Canis lupus familiaris: one gene and its partners. The protein of the gene in region 3 interacts with the protein of the main gene of each other region in a pairwise test. Links are inferred from orthologs where the notes say so. Each region holds a gene or a part of one and is shown on either strand. Other genes may lie near its edges.

Region 1 (4,141 bases), on a different chromosome or scaffold from region 3:
TGAGTAGGTCAATCTCCTGGCCAGGCCTCAGCTGAGCAATGAGGATATCATCATGCACGGGTCTGATCGTGCCCTCTGGGAAGAGGTCAGCCTGATTCCCCAGGGGCACCCATGTCATGTGCCTGGAGTACACTGGAGAAAGCACATCAGGAAAACATCAATCCTTAAAACTAGTACCCATCAAGAGGTGGGCCTTCCTACTCACCATACCACCACTCACCTTTGTGGTTCACATAGAGTTCATTGGGGTCAGAGGAATCTTTAGCAGCATGGGGGTTCCGTGTGCACCTGACTTGAAGCCGAAACTGCAGAGTATCTATCTCTGTGCCTTCATCATCCCCTGAACAAAGGATGAAAGTGGCAGCTCTTAAAGAACGACTGAGTATTTGAGTGCATTAATCTACACTTCTCATTTACTCCTCGGACAAATTTCCAATTTCAGAAGACCAGGGCAAGTGTTCACACAGATCAGAACTGATGTACCAAAACATTAGTGATTTGCTCATGGTCACAGTAATCAAGCCAGGATTTGAACGTAGGCAGTAGATCCTCTAGAATCTACTTTAGGAGACAGCTGTTCCCATTTTGCCACAATTTCGTTTTCTCAAGCGCTGACCTTGGTTCCGATACTCAAAAAGACGAGGATCAGCATGAATGGGAATAAGCCCCAAGCGATGAGCAAGGATCTCATCCTGGACAATGGATGTGTTGTTGTACACCAGGACCTTTTCCACAGCCATGGTTGGCACCTGCCCAAAAAATAAAATCATTCATCTACAGAGACCCTACAGACTCCCTATTTACTCCTACTTCCTGACACAGGGGGCCCTATTCCCAGAAAAACACCTGATGAAAAGTTCAGGAGGAATGCTCAGGAAAATGAAAGGAGCAACCTAAGAATTCTCCAAGTAAGGTGATGGCTCAGTTTCCACCCAACTCCGTCCCTGCCACCATGCCCACCAATAAATACCTCAGCTAATAAAATGCGTCGAAAAGCATTGGCAATGGCTGCATCAATTCCCACCATGTCGAACTCCAATGAGTTTTCATCCATGTGCACTACATCCACACGGAAATTCTACAGGGACAGAAAATGCACTAAATGAAGCCTTGGCCTCTGTGGAATCAATACCGTCCCTCTGGATATCCCCCAGCCCCAGCAACAATGTTCCCACTCACCCAAGAACCTCCCTTTGGCCAGATGTACCTCATAGCTGTTCCCTTCTCCCCCAATTCTTCATGAACTTCTTGAAAAGTTCCCATTTTTATCCTCTATTCATTTAAATCCTCCAACCAGACCACCCACAGAGACCATTCTACTCTGTCCTTTCTTACTAGACTCCTCCATCGGGCATTGATAGAATCCCTCCATTTTCCAACTCTGCCTTGGTTTCTGAGCACCAATCTTCTGGTTCTTTCTCCTCCAATGAATCCTTCTAAATTCACTATCTCCTACCCACTCCATAAAGTCACTATTTTCTGGATTTTTATCTCTCTCCAAAGTGACCTCAATCACGCTCATGGGTTTAACAACTATATATACAGAAAACTCCCAAATTCTCACTTCTCATCTCCTTTCAAACACACATTTTACTGGCCTGCTAGACCTCACATTCAGGAAACAATGCAGCATCATTCCCCTTCCCCAGACCTATTTTTCATCAGTAAATGGCACCACCATCCATTAAAGCAGTTCCTCAAGGTAGGTTATTTTATACTCCCTCCTCACAGCCCACATCAAAACAGTCACCAAATTTATCATGTCTCCTTTTTGCTCTACTTTCCTGATTATCATTTTAGTTCATACCTTCAACCTCAGCTCCTCTATGCAATTCTGTCACAAATCTGACTACCCTCTATGATCTTTCCCAACAGTTAAGGATGCAAATCAGATCACATCTGGCTCAGAGCTCTTCAAAACTTCCCCTATCACCTACAGTGTCTAAGATGCACTTCAATCTTGCCTAGCACTCATGCTGCCCGACTTTACATTCTAGCAATAATAAACTGGACGTTCTTGGAACACAGTTCACAAAGCCTTTATAATGTAGCTTCTAGTCTTCGTCCCCCCACCTTCACCCTTACCCTTTCTCAGATTTTACTCATCGTTCAGGGCTCAATTCAGATGTCATCTCCTGCAGGAAGGAAATCTTCCATACCGCTGCCCCGCTTTCCGTTCCAGATTAAGTGCCCCTCAGGGGTCACCCTAGTCACGACTGTCCTTTCTTATCGCTACCAACCACCTTTACATCATACTGGAGTCATTTATGCGTGCTCTTCAACAAGATTAAACATCTTGTTCGACGAACAGGGCACAGACCATGTACACGGAGGGCCTAGCATATTGCTCAATAAACGTTTTATGAACGCAGCGAATCCCACGGGCAGTTTCCAAAGCACAGGCCGCTCAGATCACACGATCCGTTCCCAATACCCTCTCCAGCCCCACCTACCTTCTCGAAGCGGTCTTGGTCCCAGGCATCATCATAGCCGGAATAGTTACCGGGAAAGTCGGTGGTATGAACCTAGACCAAAGAGAGACGAGTCTGCGAAGGGGCAGGTAGGGCAAACCCGCCCCAACTCCGATCCCAACTCATCCCTCCTGTTCCACTCTCATTTCTCTTGCCGAGTTCAAGGCCACGGGCTTACATTGCGAACCCCGAACTCCCCTAGAACCACGCGGGTCCGCATCTCTTGCACCGCCTGGGCGGCCGCCATCTTCTACCCCTCCACGTGACTAGGGCAGCAAACTGGCGCGCGCGTCCCAGTCGCCCTCCTTCGTCTCCATGGCAACGCACCGCCTCCCGGGATGTTAAATATCGCGAGATTCTGTGCAGCCTCCGTCCACGTCCCCAGCTTCCGGAAGTCGGTTTGGGCCAAACATCCGGGTTTCTCCTTTTTGCGTTCCGGCTGAACCCACCGCTCTTTTTCGCCCCTAGACATCTCCCTCCTTCAGGCCCACGTCTCTCCCACTCCTCCTCCGCGCGCGGGACTAGCGCGGGCTTCAGCGACGGGAGCCCTCGAGGGACATGGCAACTACGGCGGCGCCGGCTGGCGGCGCCCGAAGCGGGGCCGGCCCGGAATGGGGAGGGTTCGAAGAAAACATCCAGGTAATCGCCCCAGGGCTCCGGCTGCCGGCAGCCGCAGGGCCGGCAGCCGTCCTGAAGCGTCGCGGGGACTCTCCCTGGGAGCTTGGAAGTCTGCTCCATTTGCAACACTTGTCCTCTCCTTTGGCTCTTGGTGTACACGGAAGGTAGTGGGACTGGTGCTGACCTCAAAGGTCCAGACTGGTGCTCCAGCCAGAGGGCCTCGTGCCTCTGGGCCTGCCTGCTCTTGCTTTCGAGACAAGTTTGTTGGTCGATCGGGGCCAGGCATGGCGAGGGAGTGGGCGGTATTCACCGGCGCTGGCTAAAACCATGCTGTGTGCACAGCCTTGTTTGGGGATTGGAAAAGACAAAACGGGCACTTTTGCAGCCCTCTGAGGATTTGATAGGGAAGGTAGAAGAAAGACATATATGCAAGACAGGGGGTAGGTTTCCCAGGCTAGAAAAGAGAGCCAGACAACCAAGGATTCTGAGAGCAGATGAGGGGAAGAGAGTGGTATGATCTATGGTGATTCCAAGCCATATCCCCAGCAGTGGAAGAACAAAGTCCCAAATCCTGGGAGGAACGGAGGAGGACCCGCGGATGGAACAGAAAGGGCCTGCACTCTAGAAGCCATTGTCTTCACAGGGTGGGGGCTCAGCTGTGATTGACATGGAGAACATGGATGATACCTCAGGCTCCAGCTTTGAGGATATGGGTGAACTGCATCAGCGCCTGCGTGAAGAAGAAGTAGATGCTGATGCAGCTGCTGCTGAAGAAGAGGATGGGGAGTTCCTGGGCATGAAGGGCTTTAAGGGACAGCTGAGCCGGCAAGTGGCAGATCAGGTAAGCAGGATTGGATCCCTAGCAGGTGGAAAAGTATACTTAGGAAGGCCCCCAAGTGCTGGAGTTGATGTTAAAGTTCACCCCCATGTCGCCTAACCCATTAGAACTGTGTAGAAGGCCAATAGAAAGTGAGCGACAGGGACTATGGCCAAGAACCTCTCGCAGTACCTACCCACTTCACTCCGTCTTCCTTACTGCAGATGTGGCAGGC
Region 2 (3,950 bases), on a different chromosome or scaffold from region 3:
ACCAAGCTAGTGAGAGGGTTCGGTCCAGTTCCACCACGCTGTGTGTCTGCCCTCGGGCAGGTACTCAGCCTCTGTGACCCCTTCTTTCCCTGTCTCTAAGTCCGGGGTCTGAGGGTTCACGACATCTTGATTCTACACATGCTCTAAGCAGGGATCACGGAGTCTCTCAGTCTTGTTTTGCTGTACCCAAAAGTCATGCTTCTGTGACCATGAATTAGGTTCAGAAGGTGACGGAATAAGGAGTCAGGGGAATGTAAAAAAAAACCCCAAAAACCAAAAAACCCCACCCCACTGAATTAATCATGACCAAAATATCAGAATATAACTTTCCGTAATACACACCTCAAGAACTAATTACTAAAATAATAGTAGTAATAATACTTCAGAGGAGAGTCAGCTGTAGGAAAACTGGGTGAACCGGTGAGGCTGAGTCATAGGGCCCCATACCTGCCTCGGCCTCAGATGGGGAAGAGTCTCCAGGTGGGGCTTCCTAGAGCTTCTTCTCTGAGGACGGCACAGTATCAGGTCCAGAGAGGGCCTGGGGCATTCTATCAACAGATGCTCGTTGATACCTCGGGTGCCAGGCGCTGCGCCAGGTGTTGGGGAGCCCTGTGGAACCCTGCGGACACGGCCCCCACTCTCACTGAGCTGACACTCCAGCGGGTAGGGAGATGATAAACCATCGTCCCAAATGACTCAGTGATAAGGGGTACGGGGGGGGGGGGGGGGGGGGAGGAAGGGACCCAAGGGAGGAGGCCGCAGGAGCCCCTCACGCCTCCGCCCTCGGCCCGGGGGGAGCACGAGGCCTCAGCAGCAGCGACCTGCTCAGGACCGGAGTCGGAGGGCGCCGGGTGGACGTGGACTTGGAAGGGACACCTGTCTTCCTGCAGAGCCCGGCTTTCTCGCCGGCCCCTCCCAGCGACGGCGGGTTTTCCTACGCCGTGGAGCCCGCAGACCCGAGCCCCGAGGGAGCGGGAGGCAGCGCCCGAGCACCGCCCGCCCCGGGCACGGGGTCGCCTCCGCCCGCCCGCCCGCGCGCCCCAGGCCCGGGAGCGGCCCGGGAGCGGCCCGGGGGCGGCCCGGGGGCGGCCCGGGGGCGGGGCCTGGCGAGGCGGCGGCGCGTCCGGCAGGTGGCGGCAGCGAGCGGCCGCGCCCCCCGCGCCGCCGGCCCGCGAGCCCGCACCATGGAGGGCGAGCTCTCCGGTTTCGCTGCGCTCGCCTCGGAATTCGAGACTGCGGACGAGGACCGGGATGCATGAGCCGGCCGCGGGGGCCCGGGCAGGGGCCTCTGGCTCCCGACGCTGGCCGAGAGGTGGGTCCCGGGGCGCTGGCCGCTCCCGAGGCCGGGCGGGGACGCGCTGCCCCCGCCCTGCCTCCCCGCGGTCCACACCCCCTTTGGGCTCGGGAGCCGCGGGGCCGGAGGCGTCGGGGCGCGCGCGGCGGGGCGGGCGCTGGGGGCCCCGCTGCCCGGGCCGGTGCGCTCCCCCGCGCTCCCCGCGCTCCCCGCGCTCCCCGCGCTCCCGCCGCCGCCGCCGCCGCCGCCCTCACCTGCGCGCGCCGGTCCCCGGGCCCCCGAGGCCGGCGGCTGCAGCCCGGCCCGCGAGGGGACGGCCGCGGGGTGAGAGCACCTGAGGATGCGGAGCTGGCCCTGGACCGCCTTTTCACCCCCCAGGTGATGAGTGAGGCCGGGAGGTCGCGAGCTTCCAAGAGCAGCCGGGTCCTGCGTCTTGAATGAGAGACCCAGTGCGAAGGCATCACCATGAACACGAGCAGTAAGTGGGTCCTCCTCTCCTTTGCCATGGGAACAGGCTGGGGGCGGGAGGGGCGGGAGCTGGAGGCAGCCTGGCATCGCGCCGGACACGCGGCCCCCAGACTCCCTCTTGGCCCCTTCCGTGCGCCCCGGAAGGGGGATGTGGGTCCGGCTTTTCCTGACAATTTTGCTCATGTTTTATTGGCAGCAGCACTTGCCTCTGCGGGGAAGGCTGCTCGTCTCCTTCTAGCAATGCCTGGGAAGGCCTAGGAAGCACTAACGAACGTGGCCATTGTCTGGCTGTGGGGGCTCTAGGAGACCTCCCTGCACACAGCTGGAGAGCCATGGAGGGGCCCGGCTTGTCCTGAAGCCGAGAGGAGCAGGGAGGCCGGCCCCGGGCTGGTGGTGGCTGGTGGTGGGTGGATGTGGGCAGGCAGTGGGCTGGGAGCGAGCAGTTTGATAAACAAATCGTCAGGAAGCCACCTTTGGGTCTAGAGATTGTGAAATATCCTGCTCCTGTGCCTGCAGCCCCACGGCCGGGGCTGATTTCTGCACACACCTGCAGGCCGCGTAGCTATCCCGAGAGGAGAGAAAAGAGACAAGCCCTTTGGCCAAGATCTCTAACATGCCAGGGGTAACAACTGCTTTGCAGAGACAGGACCAGACATTTTGCTGCTGGGCTGGGCCTCAGCTGCTGAGAAATGCAGGCAGAAATACAAGGAGGCCCTGTATGTGTCTCTTCAGTGTGGTCCCTGTGACCATGGGCACCCACTGTGACCACCACCCTGGAGAGGAGATCTGGGTTCAAGTCCTCCCCCTCCCGCCTCCTCATCAGCTCAGCTTGTCTGGGTGCTCCCAGGAGCAGGTGGGATCGTTGAAGCGGAGGACCCAAGGAACATTCGGTTCCCTGGGTCTGTGACTTTCCCATCAGTCTCCTCTCTGGATCCCAGATTGCTGGTCTGTGAAATGAGAAGGGTTGAATCTAAATCTGTAAGTTTCTTTTTAAAAAGCGAGAGCCGAACAGCAAGACCAGAAAAATCAGTACCTTCTGAGGCTGTGTCCAGACCAAAGCCACCGTTTCTCCACCCTCCCTCCATTTCAAGGCTGTTGGCCTGGAGGGGAGGAAAACAAAGCAAAAGCCAGTGAGATGGAAATGAAATATATTTATTTACTATGTATTTGTATGACTCATCCCTCTGCTCTCTTCCTTTGTGTATTACATAGCTCTGCTAAGCGAGTGTGGCTGAACTCCCTCTGCCTCTTCCAACCAAAGAATTTTGCCTCTTGATTGTGACAGGCAGGAACGGTGCTTTGGCTTCACACCGGGCTCTGGAAAAGAGCAAAATTCTGTAGATCTGATCACCTAGGTGGGCCACATGTTTCCCCCTGCGTGCTTTCAGACGAGTAAAGATGTGAGCCGCCTGTCACTTCTCACTATCTCTAGGGGAAAGATGTAGTTATGGGAGTCCTTTCTCACTACATGATAGGAGAGAAAGATGGCTCATCTGTTTTTCAAAAAACTAAGAAATAAGTTCACAAGCAGCTGGCCTTACCCTTTTGTCTTGTCCCATTAGCAACACCGAATATGCCTGAAAGAAGGAAACAGCTTTTACTTTTTTTTTTTTTTAAACAAACAACAACCAATTGAGCTGAATACCGCAGGAGACAAGGACTCACAAAAATGCTACTCCAGCCTCGTATACTTTTTTCTAAGTAGGGAGAGTGTGTTTATTTTCCAGAGGTAGTGGAAAATAAACAGAGTAGCATGACTTGGGTGACCGCTGAGGTCCCCGTAAGAAGTGCTCCTCTAAGGGCTACCCTGGGGAGCACTGTGGCCACTGGTGCTCAAGGCTTGGAGGCGGGGCTCCATCATCCCTGAGGCTGCTTCCAAGCCTGAGAGTCTGCAAATGGAGAATATAGAAGTCAGACCTCATATGAGCGAAGCAATGCCAAGGCCATAGGGGCTGGGCGTTGGCAGGAAGTCCTTGAGGTGACCTGATCAAAGCAAAAATGCTCTCCCCTTGGGGATGTAAAATTCTTACTTAATCCTGGTACCTGAAATGGAACCTAAGAGACAATCTTACTCAGTTTTTCTCTCCCTTCCATTTATTGGATCCTCACCCTCCACCAGTCACTGTGCTCAGCATCGTACCTGTATGATCTCCCCAACTGTCACCCGCACCCTGGGAGATGGTGGTAC
Region 3 (3,509 bases):
GGCCCTGTGCCTGCTTACCCCCACCCCCCACCCCGTAGGGTTTTTCTCTGAGCACTGACCTCCCTCTGTTCCTCCCACCCTGGCCTGGCTCAGGGAACAGGGAGCGGGGAGGAGTAACTCTCAACACCTCTGCAGATGGTGACAGGCCCCCCTGGGCCCTAGTCAAGGGGCACTCCTCAGTCAGAGGGAAGGGGCCCCTGTAGGGTGGCACTTCTGGGCCTGGGAGGTGGGCTTCTCACCTCCTAATTAGTCATCTTGTTAGGCAAGGACCACAGCTTGTACCAAGATGGCCTTTCTGATAAGGTGAGACCTGTAGGAAATGAGGGAGTAAGCCACAGGAATGGACGGGCAGGGGAGGAGGGAACGGCCTGGAAAAGGCTTTGAGGCAGGAGCCAGCTTGGGGTGTGCAAGAAACCCCTGGAGCCAGGGGCAGGGGGCCCAGGGATGAGGTGAGGGCGGCTTCCTGGGCCAGAGGTCCTTACAGGCCTTCGCGGGACTTACAGGTCCTCACAGGCCACTGCGAAGCTCTGGATGGACCGGAGCTGGTGCTTGCAGCAGAGGAGAGATGTGGTCCGACTGTGAAGGATCACGGGGCTGCTCCGGGAGACGGGCTGGGCGGAGGCAGGGTCGGAGAGGAAGTGAGAAAGCAGTCAGGAGCGCGGAAACCCAGTGTCCCGCACCTGAGTGCTTGGTGGTAACGGTGAGAAGGGCTCCGAGTCCAGACCCCCAGACCCGGTTTGAAGCAGGGCTGGAGGAGCATCCCGCTGGGGAAGCGGCCTCCCGGAGCCTGACTGGCCCAGAGCTCTCCCTCCGCCCAGGGCGCATCAGGACTGGGCCAGGGGATCCACTGACGCCCACCCCACCCCCAGAACTGGGTCCTTACTCTTCTCCTGGCCTCCATCTCCCCTCTATGTCACAGGACATTGTTTTGTTTGGTTTTTAAAGATTTTATTTATTCATGAGAGACACACAGAGAGAGGCAGAGACACAGTCCCGATGTGTCCTGATGTCGGGACTCAATCCTGGGACCCCGAGGTCGGGACCTGAGCCAAAGGCAGACGCTCAACCGCTGAGCCACGCGGGCATACCCAGGACATTGTTCTTGATCTCCATGGATGCGTCCTACTTTGAGGACTCCCCCTACCAGGGCCTGCCTTGGAATGCAGGTTCTGACAGGCCGAACTTTCTAGATAAAAGGGCAACCCTCACACCCCCTTCAGGGGCCCATCTCCAAGCTGAGGAGGTCCCTGGCTTCTCTCCTGGGGCATCAGCTAGTGCTGATCGATCAGCAGAGGGATGAGGACGGGGGCAGCCTCTGCCAGGTGAGGCCTAGCACGGGTGGATGTGGGTCACCCACGTCCAGCCCTGGCACTGGGAGTGAGAGTCCAGCAGCCAGTGCAGAGGAAGAGCGGCCCGAGCCACAGCAGTGCAGGTCCACAGCTGTCCCCAGCCCACAGTGTTTACTCCCAAACTGCTGGTTCTGCTGCCCTCCGCGAGTCCTCGTGCCTCCGGAATCAACGCGAGCCTGCCCTGAGCTGTGGGAGCTCCCTCCCCGCCCTGCACCCTGCTCCAGCTCCCCAGTCCTCCCAGCCATATGTGTCCTCCCAGCCCTGTAAGGCCTCCTCTTCCCAGCTGCCTTCTCTGACTGCACCGGCGGCTGCTCCTGTCTCCTCTCCAACAGTCCACAGCTTGGGGATTCAGGGTGCTTGGGGCCCTGAATCCCCAAGCTGTGGACTGTTGGGCTCTTGAACTCCTTCTCACGTGAGTCTGCTTGGGGCCACCAGCCCAGAGGCCCCGTGCGCCGGCAGGCACCTCTCCGCCTTCCCGGTCTGCAGGGTTCTCTGGGTGGAAGATAGAGGGGACACATTCATCTCTTTTTGCTAATGCATCAGGTGACTCCGTGGATGTGGATAAACTTTGTAAAGGGCCGTGCATGGGAAGGGCCTAAGGTTACAGGTGGACTGAGGAAGGCCTGCTGCTAGCACCTCAAAAGCAGGCAGGACTTAGGAATCAGATGCAAGCACCTGCAAAAGCAGAGGCCCAGTGGTGAGACGACTTGAGGGATGAGGCCCGTCTCTCTCTGCAGGAAGTGACGCAGGGCTGGGGCGGATGTGCGTGGGATGTGGGCCAGAGGTGGGGAGAAAATGGGGCCAAAGGCAAATGCCCTGTAGTTCCAAACTGGGTGGAGGGACGACTCAGGGAAAGGCGCTTGGAGGGGAGCCGTAAAGGGCTGGAGTTAATAGGGAGGCTGGAAGGACAGGCAACCACCCAGAGGAGGGCACTCAGCCCTGGCTCTCTCCGCAGGTCGCCGAGAGCCCAGAGGAGCCCCTGAACACCGTCCAGAGCATGGAACCCATCACCAGCCACCTGTCCCCCTCTAATAAGGAGACCATCATGGTTACTCTCCACGGGGCCACCCACCTACCCACCTGCAAGGATGGCTCTGAGCCGTGGCCCTACGTGGTCGTGTAAGTAGTGCTGGGAGCAGAGGTCTGGGCTGGCATTGGGCTGGGAGCAGAAACCAGTGTACGGACATTTGCCCGTGAGCAGCCAAAGGTCGGGGGCGGCACTGTGATACCCAGGGGGGAAGCCAAGTGTGAATCACACAGGGGCTGCAGGCTCCGTCCATGTGAGGCCTGACATCTTCCCTGCTGGGTAGGAAGCCGTGCACAGGGCTGAGGAAGGAAGGAAGAGCCACTCCTTGATCCCGAAGCCAGCTGGGCCGGCTTGGCCACAGTTTGACCTCAGGGAGGTCGGCCCCTCCCCTGCAGGGAGGCCTGGGCTGGGCTCAGAGCAGGGTGGTGGTCAAAGGAAGAAGACCTGAGCCTGCCTCTCTGGGCCTCGGGGTGCCCGATCCGACGATGCCCCATTCCAGGGTAGGTGCTCGCGACCATCCTGCTCCTCAGCCCCCACTACTTCTCAGGTCATTGCTATCACGGGGGATTCCCTAGTTTCTTTAACGCACCCCACACCCCCGCCAGCCAGCTGCAGTCAGGGCACACTTCTCACAGCCTAGTGCCTGAGTGAGGCCTCACTCCTCCCAGAAAGGCATCGAGGAGCAAGAGTGTCCATCCAGCCAACCTTCGGCATGGACGTTGGACGTGCGTTCGGTCTTGATTACAAGGTGCTGTGCAGTAACCCTCCCACAAGCTTGTCGCCCCTGAGCCCCTGTGTAAACAGTGGGAGCCACCAGGGCCTCCCCAAAACCTCCTCTAGGACACCCGGCCTCATTCAGTGCCTGCCGCAGCCCTCTCCCAACACCTGCTGAAATCCCACCTTCAAAGCCTTACCCCTGACGCCTCCTCTTCCAGGCAGTCACCAGAGTTGAGCTCTCCCCGCTCTGGGGTCCAGCACAGCAGTGACACCTCTGAGCAGACGCACTTTACATAAACAGGTGCTGCTCTTGTGTCCCCCAGACTGGGGTTCCAGAGCACAGATCCTCGGTCCGACGTCCCCCCTCCCCATGCGCCCAGCACCGGCCTGAGCACCCACCTGGGGCAGAGGAGCCA
Region 4 (4,280 bases), on a different chromosome or scaffold from region 3:
TGACTCTTGATCTTGACGTTGTAGATTTGAGCCCCATGCTAGGTGCAGAGAATACTTTAAAAAAAAAAAAATCTTAAAAAAAAAGATGTAAGTCTGTGAAAGGAAAATTTGTGGGGTTTGTGGGTCTGATCTGTAGGGACATGGGGCACCTCCAGGGAGTGGGTGAGGCATCAGTGGCCATGGGAGGACTGGGCTGGGGGGCAAAGAGGGAGTCCCCCTTTGAAGAAAAGCTGGGGTTCCACTTCCCCAGCCAGCCCCTCCAGAAGCCTCCCTGTGTGGGGTGGGGGAGGGGTGTCACATGATGACGTGGGAAACCAGGGTGTTGAGAAAGTTATGAAAAGGGAAGTGTGGGGATCCCTGGGTGGCGCAGTGGTTTAGCGCCTGCCTTTGGCCCAGGGAGCGATCCTGGAGACCCGGGATCGAATCCCACGTCAGGCTCCCGGTGCGTGGAGCCTGCTTCTCCCTCTGCCTGTGTCTCTGCCTCTCTCTCTCTCTGTGTAACTATCATAAATTAAAAAAAAAAAAAAGGGAAGTGTGGTAGCCCGTGGAATCTGGGCTGCCTACCCCAGAGGCCAGCCATACCTACCCCCCCAGCTGTCCCCAACCACCCAGGGAAGGGGTGCACAGGCCGGGCCAGCCTTTGAGACACCTGTGCCCTTGGGCTCCCCCAACACCACCAGGCCCTTTAAGACTCCCCAAACATACCACCCCCAAACCCTGCCGACCCCCTACCCGGAAGCTGAAACTCAGCAGTACAGGAAGAAGATCACATGCACTCACACAGCTGCACTAGCAGAAGAAACCAATCATGAGTCTCTGGGGAGTAACCTCTGACTTCCTAAATGAGTATTCCAAGCTCAGCCAGCCCTACTAGTTCAATGGGATGGGCCCAGAAGATGTTACCCTGCCTGGAGGGGCAAGACTAGTAATGTCTATTGAGCTTCAGGATGCCTGGTTGGCTCAGAAGTTGAGTGTCTGCTTTTGTCTCAGGGTGTGATCCTAGGGTCTGGGGATCGAGTCCCGCATCAGGCTCCCTGCAAGGAGCCTGCTTCTCCCTCTGCCTGTGTTTCTGCCTCTCTCTGTGTCTCATAAATAAATAAATAAATAACATCTTAAAAAAAAAAAAGTTTGTTGAGCCTTTCCCGGGCCAGTTACAATACTCTATCCTATTTTCTTTCTTTTTTGCAACAGCCATCCAAAGTACTAATTACCTTTACTTTGAGGCTCAGAGAAGTTCGGTAACATGCCCTTGTCATATATCCAGTCATGGAGATGACAGGCTTTGAGAGCTACAAAGCATACCAGACTTGGGTTCATGTCACCAGGTGGCACCATGCACAGTGCCCAGGAATGGACCCCTGAACCCCAGGAGAGTAGAGGCCTGGGGTCCAAGCAGAGGAGGGAGACAGAAGCATTTTCTGAGCAGGTGGACAAGGCAGGACAGAAATGAGAAGCACAGGGGTGCTGGATACTGCACTGGGGTGCTAGTCCTAGAATTGCCACCACTGATGGTGAGAGCCTCAAAAGTTGCTGTCTTGGGGCCTCAGTTCCCCCATGAGTCTGTGTGGACACTGCACACTGGGTGTGGCGACGACTTACACCCAGCCAGTCACTTGCATCCTTCTCTCCCTCACCTGGCTCTCTTCGCGGCCCCAGTCCCAGCTCAGAGACCGTTTCCAGGGGACACCGCCTGGCTGGTCCTATACCTTGGCCCCTTTCACCCTCTCCTCTACACTCACAGCTCCAGGCAAGACTCGTCCCGCCTACTTCTTGGGAGTCACACCTCAACCTTCCGTAGGCTGTCCCTTGTCCTGGCTTAGGCCGGAAGAGGTGCCTGTCTGCACAAATCTGGGACCACGGGGCAGTCTTTGGCATCCTAAAGTTAGGGAGTACAGCGTGTGCTTCTAGTGGATACCAATGCACAGACGCGCGCACACACTCACAACCAAGGATGACCTCTCTCCCGCCACCCCCCACTCCCAAGGTAGAGAGGGACAGGAGCCTCTCCAAGCCCCCAGCTCTGCCATCTTCCACTAGGTGGCAGCCCCCAACTCCCAGCGTCAGGAGAGAGATTCCCAAAAGGTGAGCCAACCCAACTGCGAGTGAGCAGGAAAAGTGGCCGGGAGAGGCGGAAGTTGGCTGGTCCCACCCCCCACGAGAGGAAGTACGGGAGCGGCAGACCCAACCCCCGCGTTCGGTCACCACCCCCCCGGCCCTGCTACCCTGGAGGGGGCAGGGCCACCAGCCCACTCGCAGCCCTCTGAGCTCCAGGACCAGGGCGCGCGCCTCTCTCGCTCCCAGTGCCCCGGGGACCACCCAGCACCACCAGCAGCAGCACCAGCAGCACCAGCAGCAGCACCCGGACCGGCCCGGAGCCGGCTCAAGAATGGGGTGGTCCCTGCTCTGGGGAAGGGGCTGCAGCTTCCGGAGCCGCTGGAGAGGGAGAGAGCCCCCTTCTCGTGGGGGTCACTGCAATCACTGCTTACCCCCGGCCCCCCGTAAAACTGCCTCCTGTGCATCGGAAAGCCCCAAAGGAGCTTCTCTGAGCCAGTCTTCTCTTGCCTCCCGGCTGAAACTCCAGACGAGCCTCAAGCCCTCACGTCCGCCCGGCCGAACTGCCGAGGAAGCGAGAGGTCTGCGCGGCCACCCTCCTTACCTGTGACCGGCCCCGCGCTCGCTGCGAAGCCGGGCCGGGCAGCTCGGGACTAGGGCCTGCGGCGCGACGGCCCGCCCACCTCCGTTCCCATTGGCCAGGCGTCCGGGCTGTCGCGCTCCTACTGGCTGCTGCTCGACGGTAGAGGCGGGGCCAGCCTGCAAAGCTCTGCTTTTTTTTCTTACTCAATTCGCGGTCGTCCCTCCCTTCTTCTCGCTTCCCACCCTCCCCCCTCCACTGTTTTATGGGATCATGTGATTGGAGAATCATGTGACGTCCTGGCCGGGCTCGGCCGGGCTGCGGGCGCCTGGCGGAGTCTTCCCGAGGTGGTGTGGCCCCGGAGTGCGTTGGCCGGCGAAGGGAGCTGCCCCTTAGGGGGTGCACTCCAGGGCGTTTACAGGATGTCTGCTTCTGGGTTAGGGACACCTGTGCATCCTGTTTCTTTTGTATTCAACGAACTCAGAATAAATGCTGGGCAGCCAGGCCCCGAAGGGAGGGTTGTGAGGGCAAGGATAGACAGCTCTCAGGCCCTTTCCTCAGGGTGCTCCTGGCCGGGTGTGAGTGGGTAGAGAGATGAGACAGGCTCACGTTCAATCTAATTTAAGGTGCAAGATCGTGTGCCAGGTATTAATGGATGTGTGTAGGGCAGAGGTGGAAGATTGGCTCTTGGCAGGGAGGAAAAGATTTAATTCTACCTTAAGGGCACTTTAAAAATTATTTATTTATTTATCTGAGAGAACGAGCATGAGCGGAGGGAGAGGGAGAAGCAGACTCCCTGCTGAGCAGGGAGCTGGACTGGGGCTTGATCCTAGACCCTAGGATCATGACCTGAGCCAACGGCAGATACTCAACCAAGTGAACCACCCAGGCGCCCCTTTAAGGACACCTTTTGGAGCTGAACCTGGGAGAATGTTAACTGGCAGGTGGACAGGGGTTGGCAAAGCTCCTGAGCAGGGGGTGTTAGGAAGAGCATTAGGAAACCAGATGGGAAGAGCAGCGTTGGGCAGGGATTAAATGCCAAGTACAACGTAGTGGGCTTGAGGAGCTGTTGGGTGCCTGACACGAGGCTTGGGCTGGGGGTGGGAGCATAGTGGAAGTGGCTTCCTCGTTAGAGTCAGCCTTGCCTTCCAGGAATTGAAATAACCGGTGAGGAGAGAAAGGTACTACACAGAACAGATTGGCCAGCAACAAGAGCCAGGCTGCTCCGTGCCAAAAGGCCATTTTGGCTCAGGCCAAAAATGGTTGATAGATGCACCAGGAAAGAGGAGAGGCCCAGAGAAAGCCCAGTGCCAGGCTAGGGGGACAGGCAGTGTTTGGTGGTACAGTGTGGATGGAGAGCACCACAGGCTCAACAAAGAGCTTGGGCAGAGGGGTGGCTGGGGGAGATGACAAACACCCCAATTCAGGGGTGGTGGCATTCTGTGTGTGGGAGTAGCAGGGTTGGGGAATTGTGTGTGGCAGTGGTGCTCAGCCTGGGGCTAGAGAGGGTCTGGAGAGTGTGTGAGGCTCCTGCTGAGAATCAGGACAACCCTGTACGCTAGTGACATTTGTACACAGTTTACCTCCTGAGTATCCTGAGGCAAGGGGAGGTCCCATTTATGCTTCCATTAATAAAGTATGGGCACAC
Region 5 (4,272 bases), on a different chromosome or scaffold from region 3:
TGTGTGTGTGTTCACACCAAGGCCCCATCTCACCACTCCCTGTGTGGCTTCCTCTTCTCCATCCTGTGACCCAAGGAGAACTGGTCTGTGACCCTCACCAGCTGGACCAGGATGAATCGGAGACCTGTCTCTTGTCCCTGTCACTAGCTATCATCTGATATCAAAGATAGCACCTCTTCTCCCTATGCTCCTAGTTCTGGGCCTCCGGGGGGGGGGGGCGCTTCATTTGTACCCACATTCCCTGAGTTGGCTTCATTTAGAATATGATTGTCACCACCTTTCCAATCCCCCCAGAACAGCTCTTTGCGACCAAGGCCTTCACGAATTCCTAATGACAGTGCAGGCTCTCCACGGCCTTGCAACCTCGCGCGCTCACCCGCGAGTACGCCGGGGCCCCCTGTGCTCGGCTCACCCCGGGGCCCACCCAGGCCCAAGCGCGCAGAGCCGGCCCAGCAGGTCGTCGGGGGCTTGAAGGCTCCCCGCCCCCCCAGGCTGCCACGGGGACGCCCTGGACAGCAGAGGAAAGCCCCGACGCCCCAGGTGGCTGGCGCGGGGGTCGGGCGCACGCTGGCCGCCGCCCGCACGCCGGGCTCGGCCCCCTGCCAGCGCCCACGGGCACGCCCAGTGCCTTGCAAGGATGCCCGCTCCTGGGGTGCCCGCGGCCTCCTGGCCCAGTGCCCCATTTCCTCCCGGGCGCAGTGGGAGGGAGGGAGGGAGGGAGGGTGGGAGGCGCTGGGGACCTGCGGGACGACGGGCGCAGGTGGAGAGCGGAGCGGGGCGGGGTGGCACCGGGGGCCGAGGCGGCTGCTGCCCGGGCCTGGGCCCCGCGGCCCCGAGGGCCCGCTCTCGGGATCGGGGTCCCTTCGCGCTGCGGCGGAGGCGCGGCCGGCCCGGGGCGGCCGGGGAGCGCGGGGTGCGGAGGGGGCAGGGGGCTGCGGGGACCGTCGGAGCCCGCGTGACTCAGGGAGCGCGAGCCGCGCCCAGCGCGTCAGTCCTGCGCCGCTTTCCTGTCCTGGCCGGTTTCTGCCGGTTCGACTTGCGTAGGTCCCCACCCCCGCCCTCCCGACCCCGACACGCCAGCCGGTGACGCCTCGACCGCCCGCCCCGCCCCGCCCCCACGTCGCGGCGAGCCCACGCTCGTCCCCGCCCCCGCAAGCCCGACTCCTCGCTCGAGCCCCGCCCCTGCGCGCCAGCGCGTGACGCCCCTCGGCCGGCGGGCCCCGCCCCTCCGGAGCGCGGCCCCGCCCCGCCGCCGCCGCCAGCCTATCCCGCCCGCTTGCGACGTCTGACGTCATGACGCCCGCCCCGCCCGCTCCCACGGTCCCCCGCTCCGCGCCGGCGCCGCCGGCCCGGCCCCGCCCCGCCCCGCGCGCAGTCCGCAGAGCCCGCGGCCGTGACGCGAGCGTGACGCAGGCGTGACGCGAGCGCTGCCGCTCCCGAGACGCTCGCGCCGCCCCCGCCGTGCTCGGAGGCAGCGGTAGCTGGGCCCGCGTCGCCAGGCCCGGGCCCCCCCAGCTCCCCGCCGCCCGCCGCCCGCCAGGCCCGGGCCCCCGGGTCCCCGCCGCCCGCCATGGACGACTACGCGGTCCTGTCGGACGCCGAGCTGGCCGCCGTGCTGCGCCAGTACAACATCCCGCACGGGCCTGTCGTGGGTACGCGGCGGCGAGCGCGCCCCCTCCCCGCCCCCCCCCCGGGGTCCGGCCCGCGGCCCTGACGCCCCGCGTCCCGTGTCTGGCCAGGTTCCACTCGCAAGCTCTACGAAAAGAAGATCTTCGAGTACGAGACCCAGAGGCGGAGGCTGTCGCCCCCCAACTCGTCCGCCTTCAATTTCTCCTATCGGTTCTCGGGTGAGGCCCCCGCCCCGGATCTCCACCTGGCCTCCCAGGGGGACGGGGTTTGGGCGACGGGGGGCACGGGGTCCGGAGGGTGTGGCAGGGGCGGTGGCTGGGAGGGGCACAGGAAGAAGGGAGGGGAGCCGGGGGCAAATGGTCCCGCCCCCCCCCCCTCAGACTTAGATTCGGCATCCGTGGACTCGGATATGTACGATCTGCCCAAGAAAGAAGACGCCTTGCTTTACCAGAGCAAGGGTAAGGCTGGGCGGGCGGGGGGGGGGCACCCTGGGGGGGGCACCCTGTCACCCTTACCCCCTCCCTCAGGGAGCCTGGTGTTGGGGGGACCTGGGATCTCAAGCCCGTCATCCTCAGCAGCCCCAGAGGGGAGAGACGGTGCCACAGGCTCCCACGTGGGACTGAGATTAGGGCCAGGTGGGCGCAGCCACTGTGCACCTTGCTACCGCTCTCCCCCCCTTCCCAAGGCTACGGCGATGACTACTACGAGGAGAGCTACCTGAGCACCAGGACCTACGGGGACCCTGAGCCTGTGGGCTCCTCCAAGGGCTTCCGCCAGCCATCAGCTTCACTCGCAGATTCGGACACCTTTCACCACCAGGTGAGTTGGCTGCCGAGCACCTGCATACAACCTGTGGGGGTCATAGCTGGGCTTGGACAAAACCTGGACGGGGGGGGGGGGGGGGGGGGGCGCACGCGGTAGGCCCTGTGCTTCCCGAGAGGCAAGGTAAGTGCACACCTCCCTTGGCAGGGCCGTCCTTGGGGGAGTGTCAGACCTAACACTAGGGCACCTGGGACGCCGTGCACCCTGACCTGGGATCTAGGTTTGAGATCTTTCTCAGACCCCCCGGGGCAGAAAGTAAGGTGCAGGCGGCCAGGATACCTGTCGAGTTGTGGAGCGGGTGACAAAGCCCTACCGGGCTAAGGCTGGTAACTCAGGAGGGTTTTGGAGGGAACAGGGTCCGGGTGTTTCAGCTAGGCTAGTTTGCAGTGAGGACGGGACAGGCTACAGGCTGCTGACTCTGCTGGCCAGTTCCCCTCTCCCTGACTGTTACCTGCAGGTGCGCGATGACAGTCTCTTCTCTTCTGAAGAGGACAGCAAGGACAGGTGAGTGGCAGGAAGGGCCAGGCAGCGGGTGGTTCTGGGCGCAGGCCCCCTGGCTCACCTGCTGTCCTCTGCCTCAGGGAACGCTCCGGGTATGGCCGGGACAGCGCCTACCAGAACATCGTGCACTACCGCCCTGTTTCCAACATCTCCAGAAGCTCCCTGGGCCTGTCCTATTATCCCACACCCTCTTCCACCTCTCCCATATCCTCATCTTCATCTTCCCCCACTTCGTGGCTCACCCGTCGTGCTATCCGGCCAGAAAAGCAGGCCCCTGGGGCTGGTCTGGGCCAGGACCGCCAGGTCCCACTCTGGGGCCAGCTGCTCCTGTTCCTGGTCTTTGCTGCCTTCCTGCTCTTTGTTTACTACTCCATGCAGGCTGAGGATGGCAATCCCTTCTGGACGGAGCCCTGAGGGGCTGGCTTCGTGGCCAGCTGTTCCCGGAAGTCCTGGCTGACTGCCTTAGTAGTGTCTGCTGGGGGAGGGGGTGGGGGCTTTTCTGTGTGTTCTAGCTTCGGTGTGCTGGGCTTGGCCCAGGGCAGTGCTTGCTCCCCTGCCTCGTTCTGCCCAGGAGGTGGCAAGCCCAGGCCCTCCGCGGCATGGCGGGCCCGGGCAGGCCTTCCTCTGGAGTCTCCTGGTCCTGCTTGCCTCTGATCCAGGGCCCAGGAGGGTAAGACCCTTCTCCTGGAGAGGAGAACATGGTTGTTGTCATTGCATGCCTCCTGTCTGTTGTCACCTCGTCGGGGGGGATTAACCCAGGCCACCCTGACTTTGTTTTCGTGGACACAATAAAAAGACCATTTATTTTTAACGTGTGGGCTCTCTTTGCTGGGAAGGACTTGGGCTGGGAGCCTCCAGGCCTTGGGTCTCCACGAGCAACATCTGGCTTTGTTCGCTCTCCCTTCTTGCTTTGGGGTTGGGGTAGGGATCGCATGCTACCCACGGGCACGTTTGTGCTTTACTGGTAGGGTTTGCTCCCTGACTCGTGACCCAAAGCTGCTGTAACTAGGCAAAGAAGCGTGCCCCCACGGGATGCAGAGAGCTCCCCCATAAATGCAGGTGAGGGTGCGTGCACAGCACTGGCTACAGATGTTCCGACAGGGAGGAGCCGACAGCCGGCCTCAGTACCCAAGGGCAGGTGGACAGGGAGGAAATGCGGCGAGTGGCGGGCTCCTCCCGGGCGGCCGCTTGTCCGGGGGGGGGGAGAGGCCCACAGGATGCCGCATCACCCCTGTGTAAATCCCACCCCTCACCTGCCTATGTTCTTGCTTATCTCCAGGTTTTCTGTGCGGGAGGCGAGCACCTCCACCTGCAAAGTAC

Evidence for each region.
Region 1: the proteins of CCDC33 (region 3) and POLR1C interact in a two-hybrid assay, tested with the Homo sapiens proteins (2 studies listed by BioGRID). The two-hybrid records come from large-scale screens. The link is inferred for Canis lupus familiaris from reciprocal best matches to the Homo sapiens genes CCDC33 and POLR1C.
Region 2: the proteins of CCDC33 (region 3) and ABLIM3 interact in a two-hybrid assay, tested with the Homo sapiens proteins (2 studies listed by BioGRID and IntAct). The two-hybrid records come from large-scale screens. The link is inferred for Canis lupus familiaris from reciprocal best matches to the Homo sapiens genes CCDC33 and ABLIM3.
Region 4: the proteins of CCDC33 (region 3) and GRN interact in binary tests that used the Homo sapiens proteins (3 or more experiments, as listed by UniProt). The two-hybrid records come from large-scale screens. The link is inferred for Canis lupus familiaris from reciprocal best matches to the Homo sapiens genes CCDC33 and GRN.
Region 5: the proteins of CCDC33 (region 3) and EMD interact in binary tests that used the Homo sapiens proteins (3 or more experiments, as listed by UniProt). The two-hybrid records come from large-scale screens. The link is inferred for Canis lupus familiaris from reciprocal best matches to the Homo sapiens genes CCDC33 and EMD.

What each region holds. Positions count from the first base shown.
Region 1 is NC_049233.1:12,166,416-12,170,556, reverse strand, and holds the start of POLR1C (DNA-directed RNA polymerases I and III subunit RPAC1), read right to left. Parts: upstream 2,810-4,141; 5' UTR 2,719-2,809; coding exon 2,650-2,718; intron 2,526-2,649; coding exon 2,454-2,525; intron 1,079-2,453; coding exon 971-1,078; intron 750-970; coding exon 617-749; intron 341-616; coding exon 221-340; intron 133-220; coding exon 1-132. Other genes in the region: protein YIPF3, read left to right, coding at 3,030-3,110, 3,733-3,930, 4,131-4,141. UniProt on the Homo sapiens protein: DNA-dependent RNA polymerase catalyzes the transcription of DNA into RNA using the four ribonucleoside triphosphates as substrates.
Region 2 is NC_049225.1:60,709,729-60,713,678, reverse strand, and holds the start of ABLIM3 (actin-binding LIM protein 3), read left to right. Parts: upstream 1-1,141; 5' UTR 1,142-1,312; intron 1,313-1,672; 5' UTR 1,673-1,759; coding exon 1,760-1,772; intron 1,773-3,950. UniProt on the Homo sapiens protein: May act as scaffold protein. May stimulate ABRA activity and ABRA-dependent SRF transcriptional activity.
Region 3 is NC_049251.1:37,827,565-37,831,073, forward strand, and holds part of CCDC33 (coiled-coil domain-containing protein 33), read left to right. Parts: intron 1-2,304; coding exon 2,305-2,468; intron 2,469-3,509.
Region 4 is NC_049230.1:18,957,482-18,961,761, forward strand, and holds the start of GRN (progranulin), read right to left. Parts: upstream 2,810-4,280; 5' UTR 2,657-2,809; exon of another isoform or gene 2,487-2,656; intron 1-2,486. UniProt on the Homo sapiens protein: Secreted protein that acts as a key regulator of lysosomal function and as a growth factor involved in inflammation, wound healing and cell proliferation. Regulates protein trafficking to lysosomes, and also the activity of lysosomal enzymes.
Region 5 is NC_049260.1:123,237,314-123,241,585, reverse strand, and holds EMD (emerin), read left to right. Parts: upstream 1-1,481; 5' UTR 1,482-1,570; coding exon 1,571-1,652; intron 1,653-1,739; coding exon 1,740-1,847; intron 1,848-2,009; coding exon 2,010-2,087; intron 2,088-2,314; coding exon 2,315-2,448; intron 2,449-2,881; coding exon 2,882-2,955; intron 2,956-3,032; coding exon 3,033-3,366; 3' UTR 3,367-3,763; downstream 3,764-4,272. Other genes in the region: collagen alpha-1(I) chain-like, read left to right, coding at 339-698, 761-1,087. UniProt on the Homo sapiens protein: Stabilizes and promotes the formation of a nuclear actin cortical network. Stimulates actin polymerization in vitro by binding and stabilizing the pointed end of growing filaments. Inhibits beta-catenin activity by preventing its accumulation in the nucleus.